Nothobranchius furzeri: one gene and its partner. The protein of the gene in region 1 binds, or shares a complex with, the protein of each later gene. Links are inferred from orthologs where the notes say so. Each region holds a gene or a part of one and is shown in the gene's direction. Other genes may lie near its edges.

The links. Proteins that work in one complex are often made in the same cells at the same time.
Region 2: the proteins of mmut (region 1) and mmaa are in contact, whole or in part, in a crystal structure (PDB 8GJU), measured with the Homo sapiens proteins. The link is inferred for Nothobranchius furzeri from reciprocal best matches to the Homo sapiens genes MMUT and MMAA. Residues at the interface, in NP_000246.2 of Homo sapiens: Lys496, Glu609, Arg610, Glu611, Gly612, Arg613, Arg614, Arg616, Ala635, Thr636, Ala639, Asp640, Gly642, Phe643, Asp644, Val645, Asp646, Ile647, Gly648, Pro649, Leu650, Phe651, Gln652, Glu656, Gln659, Gln660, Val662, Asp663, Ala664, Asp665; in NP_001362573.1 of Homo sapiens: Arg98, Ala99, Ala102, Glu103, Thr106, Glu109, Ser110, Thr111, His112, Ser182, Ser186, Gly187, Gly188, Ser189, Leu190, Leu191, Lys194, Thr195, Met197, Thr198, Ser201, Arg202, Met204, Tyr207, Ile208, Arg209, Pro210, Ser211, Pro212, Arg214.

What each region holds. Positions count from the first base shown.
Region 1 is NC_091742.1:21,795,314-21,798,965, reverse strand, and holds part of mmut (methylmalonyl-CoA mutase, mitochondrial), read left to right. Parts: intron 1-1,126; coding exon 1,127-1,298; intron 1,299-1,429; coding exon 1,430-1,678; intron 1,679-1,775; coding exon 1,776-1,887; intron 1,888-3,652. UniProt on the Homo sapiens protein: Catalyzes the reversible isomerization of methylmalonyl-CoA (MMCoA) (generated from branched-chain amino acid metabolism and degradation of dietary odd chain fatty acids and cholesterol) to succinyl-CoA (3-carboxypropionyl-CoA), a key intermediate of the tricarboxylic acid cycle.
Region 2 is NC_091744.1:10,732,621-10,736,272, reverse strand, and holds part of mmaa (methylmalonic aciduria type A protein, mitochondrial), read left to right. Parts: intron 1-1,273; coding exon 1,274-1,444; intron 1,445-2,031; coding exon 2,032-2,117; intron 2,118-3,652. UniProt on the Homo sapiens protein: GTPase, binds and hydrolyzes GTP. Involved in intracellular vitamin B12 metabolism, mediates the transport of cobalamin (Cbl) into mitochondria for the final steps of adenosylcobalamin (AdoCbl) synthesis.

The sequences.
Region 1 (3,652 bases):
CCACAATCTGATTATTCATCCCCAGCTGCTGTAGAAAACAATCAATGAAATCAAAATAAACTTAATTTACTGCTTTTCCCCTTCCCGTTTTTCCTCTCTGCTGTCTTCCTTCAGTTACGTCCATTGGTGCACCTTTGGTTCTTCGTTCACTCGTGTTAACTGGATGTTTTCCCCCGTTTCGTTTATCCTTTAAAGCTGATTGACTCTCACTTACTTACATGCCTCTGGAGCTTCCTGTTGTGCCTAAAGTTGTTGAAAGATACTGTCCTTTATTTACAAGGAGCCTATGACTTTGCCTCCTCTCCGTGCTGTTAGAACCACCTTTGATTTATAATTAAACTTCCACGACTGATTTGAACTGTTCGTCTGTCGTGCTGGAATGAGTTTAAAAGCATCGACTGGTGCACAAGTCTGAATTTATTGTACATTTTCTCTCTTCCTGACAAGATAAAAATATGTTATTTACCCTAATCTACTGTCCAGATCCATTCTAACTGGAAACATTTCAGGATGTTAAGAGAGAAAAGATCAAAGGAGGACTGTATTTATGCCATTTCTACAAATTCAGATTCCAGAATCATTAGTTCAAACAATTCTGGAAAAGGTCCTAATCCGTTACCCTCAGATGAAATGAAATTAGTTTGGATGTTCAAGCACCACCAAGGCTAAAGTCTACTTTAATCCAAAAACTGAATCTTGTCATCGTGGACCGAGGGTCTTTTGTACGTTTGTTCCAAATCAAATTCCATTGTTTGGTTCTTTTCTGAACACACAGAATTGATTTGTTTTTACCTTTTTTAGCTGATACGTTCTGGCTAACACTGTAGCCGTTGGTGGCGTCACTCCTTCTCTGGCAGGCAGCGGAGGACGATGTCGCCCTCCGCTGCTCATGTGGACAAATCAAAAGCCTTTTGTAGAACGGCTTTATGGTCCCTTGAGAGGAACGTTGAGCTATTTAGCCACTTTAACACAAAGAATGTTCGAAGGAGTCCAAGTGAGGATTTCAAACTTTATGTTAAACTTCGTTCAAGCTCCTTTCACAAAGCGAACTACCTTCAATTTGTCATTTTTCAACGTATTCATTACTTTATTGATTGATTATTGTGTTCTAACATTGTTTTATCAGGTTGTCCTTCTTCTGGGGTATAGGGATGAATTTCTACATGGAAATAGCCAAGCTGAGGGCAGCCAGGAGGTTATGGGCCACTCTGATTAAAGAAAACTTCCAGCCCAAGAACACCAAGTCCCTCCTGCTGCGCACCCACTGCCAGACGTCAGGCTGGTCTCTCACAGAGCAAGTAAACACAAACCTTCACTGTTTTCAATTTGCAGTGTTGATCGATTATTTTAAATATCTTGATTCCAAAACCATTTCTGAACAAAATGTAAAGTTGTAGCCTACTCTGATTGATGGTCACTCATTCTGCAGGATCCGTACAACAATGTGATTCGTACCGTAATCGAAGCCATGGCTGCTGTGTTTGGCGGCACCCAGTCGCTACACACCAACTCTTTTGATGAAGCTCTGGGATTACCAACGGTGAAGAGTGCCCGCATCGCTAGAAACACCCAGATCATTGTCCAAGAAGAGTCAGGCATCCCTAAGGTGGCCGATCCCTGGGGGGGCTCACACATGATGGAAGCTCTGACTGATGACGTCTACAATACTGCTCTGAAGGTTCGTCAAACCAGAGAAGCTTACTGAACATCGTTTTGGACTTTATGCAAGTTTGAGATTAAAAGACTCCAGTAACTCGGCGTGCTGCGTTTTATAGTTCATTAAAGACATCGAAGAGATGGGAGGCATGGCCAAAGCTGTGGCAGAGGGCATTCCAAAACTTCGGATTGAGGAATGTGCGGCACGAAGACAGGCTCGCATTGACTCAGGTACTGCAGACTGAAACGCTAACATGAGTTTGGGTTTCCTGTCTCGTTTCTTATCCTCGTCGCGTTGCTTTAATCTTTAATACAACGTTATGTTTTCATTTGTTCCTTTACGAGGTAAAACCTGACAAAAGTGGAAATGGCCTAAAGCGAAACAGGGATCGGCTTTTTATTTAGCTTTTAAGAGGCATTTTGACTGGATGGCAAAAGAGATGGTTTCAAAGATGCTTGTTCCCGAATTGGCCGGTTCGAGAGTCGGCTAGAAACGGAATCAATCTGGAAGTAATTCTTGCTTTATTGAACTCATTGTTTATAAACGTTGGCAAATCAGAATTTGACATGTTTTGAGGGTTTTACCAAGCATTCCTCCAAAGACACTCCTTCTTCAGATACAAAGGTGTTTAACACGTAACAAGTATCTTATTGTAATGTGTATGAGTGTAGATATTGATTAACTAGTTAAATCAAACACACACTGATCTGGTGTAGATGAGATCTGAAATGGATCATTGTAAGGGCAATATTCATCTTGAATTCATTGATTTAAGCACAGATTATTCAAACATTTGATTTAAACATCTTGTTCATTCAACACTAAGCTTATGGGTTGTAAAGTCATGTAGGAGCTTCAAGTAGGTTTGATTTTTATTCATGGTGAGGAATCGGCAGTCTGGCTTTTACAGAGATTGCAGGACCTTTGCGGGAGACCTTGAGTGAGAATGTTTATCACTCCTTGCAGCCGCAAGGACCGTGGCAAAGGTCTGTTTGGATTTGGGTGTCCAGACAGATGGTGTTTTTCTGTCCGCAAATGAAAGGTCATTATGTGGTCCATATGTAGGTGAAAGTTGACCACCTGGTACATTACTCCATCCGTCCATCCGTCCGTCCGTCCGTCCATCCATCCATCCATCCATCCATTCATCCATCCATCCATCCTTCCTTCTGTTCTTCCATCCATCCATCCATCCATCAACCCAACCAACCATCCATCCATCCATCCATCCATTCATCCATCCTTCCTTCTGTTCTTCCATCCATCCATCCATCCATCCATCCATCCTTCCTTCCTTCTGTTCTTCCACCCATCCATCCACCCATCCATCCATTCATTCGTACATTTATCCATCTTTCCTTTTCATCCATTTGTACATTTATCAAGCATTCCATCCATCCATTCATTTGTGCATTTATCCTTTATCCAACCATCCATACATTTGTCCATTCGTCCAACTATCCATCCATCCATCCATCTATCCATCCATGATGAGTGAATATTGTTTTGTAGATTTTTTTTTCTTTCTTTCTTGGTCCCTTATATTCTAAATCAAAGAAACAGGTCTATTTATCACTTTTCAACCTCCTTATATTTATGTTTATGGTTATTTATTTAGCAGACGCTTTTATCCAAAGCGACGGACAATTTTTAACCTATAGGGCATGTTGTGATCTGTGGGGGAAACCGGAGTACCCGGAGGAAACCCACGCATGCATGAGGAGAACATTCAACTCCACGCGGAAAGGCTGCAGCCGAGTTTTGAACCTGCAACCTTCTTGCTGCGACGGAACAGTGCTAACCACTGTTAGTGAGTGAGTAGCGGAGGATTTCAGCCCCACATCCCAAAAACAGAAAATGGATGGATGGATGTTGCATTTTTATAAAAAAATACTTTTTACATTTAGCTGGAAAATATTAAAATCTATTGAAGTAAAAATACTGTAATTTAAAATAACTACTACTAGTCACGTTTTCAGTAAAATAGCTCTTTTT
Region 2 (3,652 bases), on another chromosome or scaffold:
CCCGTTGAAAAGTATAAAGGTATTTAATTTACAGACACAGAACAGATTGAAGAACACCTCATGGAAAATGTCTGAAAATATGAACGTCTATCCACCCACGACAAAATACAAAGCAAATGTTTTATTTGTTGGTGGAAATGACAGGAAACGTGGGTTTGGAGGTGGAGGAGAATGAAGGACTCATTTGTTTGTGTTTAAAGTCTGAAATACATAAACACATATCATGGAGCGGATACATGAGTGTAATGGTGGCATGATACCACAGAAAAGCGCTACGAGCTCTGTTGTGACGGACAAGTCCGAGAGCATAAAATCTGTCAATGCGTGTGCGTCTCTCCCTTGGAAAGCTGACAGAGATGTAGAAATCAGGCTAAAGGTGTGTAGGCCTCTTAGCTCTTAGCTTCTTCTCTAAGAACTTAATGACATCAGAATTGACGATAGAAAAACCCATCTTGGTCTATCTCTAGTGCAAAGTTAGCTTCACGCAAAAGGCAATGGGACAAAAAAACTTTCCAAATAGTAAAATTTTCTCACGATGGCTTTTTTCCGGAAGTCTTGAGGGATAGTCGAGATGTTCTCAACCCCTGTGAGAGGACCTTTGTACCCCCTCTCTTTGCTATTGATGAATTCTTACCCTAGCCATAAACCAAGTGAATTGCTTTTTGAAACCTTTTTGCTAATGTCATGTTGTCAGATTTTATTGGCAGTAACCGGGTCTAATGTGAATTATTTATTTCATTTATGACTTAAGGAGCTTTTTAACACAAGACCATGTTGGTTCGGATAGCTTTACCTGGCCTAGTGGTAGAGTGTCCTCTCTGACTGAGAGATTGGCGTTCAAGTCCCAGTCCGGTTATACCAAAGACTTTAACAATGGGACCCAATGCCTCCCCGCTTGACGCTCCGCTTTAAGAGGGGGGATAAACCACCAAATAGTTCCCGAGCGCGGCCAGAGCTGCCGTGCACCACAGCTGCAGCTCACCGCTCCCCACGGGGACGGGTCAAATGCAGAGATGAATTTCACCAGTGTGTGATGAATTAATGGGACTTTAACTTTAAACCCTGAAAACTGCTTTTTTGTTGTTTTTATTCAGGTTATCTTTGATATTGAAATGTATTTATTGATTATAAAAGTGTGACAAAAAGCCCAAACTAAGGGGGCAAGTACTTTTTCACAGCAGTCACCACCTTACATTCAGTTTAAGGTTTATTTCAAACACAAGCCTCACTTCTTTATCACAGATTATAAACTCATTTCGGCCTCTTTCGGCAGGGTCGCTGCTGGGTGATAAGACTCGTATGACTGAGCTTTCAAGAGACATGAATGCTTTCATCAGGCCGTCGCCAACCTCAGGAACGCTCGGCGGTGTCACTCGAACAACCAACGAGGCCATCGTTCTGTGTGAGGGGGCTGGATATGACATCATTCTAGTGGAAACTGTTGGTAAGATTTAGCAAGGTCCAACCCCAGCCACAATATTATTCCAAACTTGTCATTTTATCTGTTCAACTGTGATAAAAAAAATCTTTACATTTCATTTTAGCTACTCATTTATGCAAGTTGAATAGAAAGTCGGACTCCAGTTCCAGCGCTCAAAGTTTTTTCATTGTGATGGTGCTCTGAAAAAGTGACAGTCACACTAAGTATTTGTTGAAAGTGTCAGCACACACTTCTGGATTTTCAGTGACGCTGACACGCTTTGACGAGTGCGTTAAATCTGTGTTTCAGGGTAAAATTTATTCACTGTGATGAATCTCAAGTTTGTCGAAGTTCATGATTATTCAGAGGAGTTTGAGTTTTCAAACAGTCCGAAACACTTGTCTTCTACCCGCTTATTAGATATTTGTGTGTTTTTGTAGAAGTTTCATGTGTAAAAGACGCAGTATTCAGATCCCCTGGGCCTTATAATGTGTGCTTAGATGAAGACTGGGGAGGAGGAGTTGATACACGATAATCAGATTTTTCAGAACGTTTCGTGATACTTGGGTGATCCAATATGATGAGTTTAAAGTATTTTCATCACTTTTCAGGTGTTGGTCAGTCTGAATTCGCTGTGGCAGACATGGTTGACATGTTTGTGCTTTTGATTCCACCAGCAGGTGGCGACGAACTCCAGGTCAGTGAAACGCAACAGCAGATAAATTAAAAGTTAATACATGTTTGCCGTCATGCAACTACAAAAGTAAATTAATTTCACCTACATACATTTGGTTACAAATATTTTAAAAAAGTAAATAAAAATACAAAACTTAGCCCTGATTTGAATATGATCATTTTTTGACAAATTTTAAGTAAACAAGAAAGCAAAAATGTAACTTTAAAACTGCTTTAGTCATAACCTAACGCCATGGTATTAATGTCAAATTACGCTCATGAGTCTTTTTTTAAGTTGTTATTTATAAAAATGAAAATGCTGGCAAAAAACGGTATGCTAATTAGTTAATTAGCTTAATTAATGACTTAATGAGCACAGCTCATTATGATTCATATTATTGTGATTACAGCGAGACACTGAGGTGAGCTGGCATCTGTTTTAATAACAACCGTTGTGTTTTTTACTTCAGAAGCAAAGCTGTGAGTTTATTTAGCACAGAGGAAATGTGAAACAATGTCATTAAATCTTGGTTTCACATCAGATTTTCTTTACATTTATTATTATGAATTCAAACAGACATAAATTTGACCTGCGATGGATGCATTTAAAGTTTTTATTTTTTCAGAAAATTTTCTATGTGTGACAGTGCTGCTTTCCTCTTTCTGTCTTTTGGCATCAAATCAAACTGCATCATTTACCCGATTATAGCTTTCACTTTATTCTGGTATAAATACGTCATCAGTTCTAATACTAATTATTTAACCAGGGATTCAAGACTCTGTTAGGTGGCTGTTTGTTCTGTTTGTTTATTGGTGAGGCCAACCAGACATTTTAGTTGATGCCTTTAAATAAGGTACTTATTCTACTAATCATTACACTCCTGCCACCGTGCTTTACCACTAGGAGAGTGTATTAATCAGGTTATTTTAGCCAAACTGATGTTTGTGTATTTTTAGACCCTCCTACTCTCTCAGCAGAGCTTTTGTCATGCTCTGATGTCTCTCGCTGAAACTGATTCCCTCTAAACTCACAATGGATCCAAATCCCTGCCTTTAAAGCAACTTTAGTTCAAGTGCAGTTGAACGATTCTTTCTCTGCATTCAGTTTTCTGTCGCTAATGAATCTTATTAAATGTTAATTTGGTCACTTTTGTTCCGTAATGGGTTTGACCTCTTTTGTGCAGCGGAAATTGCAACTGAAGAATTGTCATATTCAACACTTTAAAGACCAAGTTCACAAAGAAACCGTTTTTTTACTTACAACCAGTCACTTTTGAGTTTCACATGTAGTCTAAATGTGAAAATAGTCTTTTACCCCTACTTCCTGCGTTAGCCGGAGAAAACGGGGAAACTCTGATTAGAAAAGCCAGTCTGATCTACGTAACGCTGAAAATTAGCATTCATGGACTCACCCATTTTAGCTTGTGATGGGAAAGGCAGTTGATGATTTTGCTCCCAGGAGAGAGCCAAGCACGTTTCCGCTAGCAGAAGCTAACTGTTAGCATTAGCAACTCCACCGCATGGCAGAACTCCTCCAGGCTTAAGTTATTTGTGGAG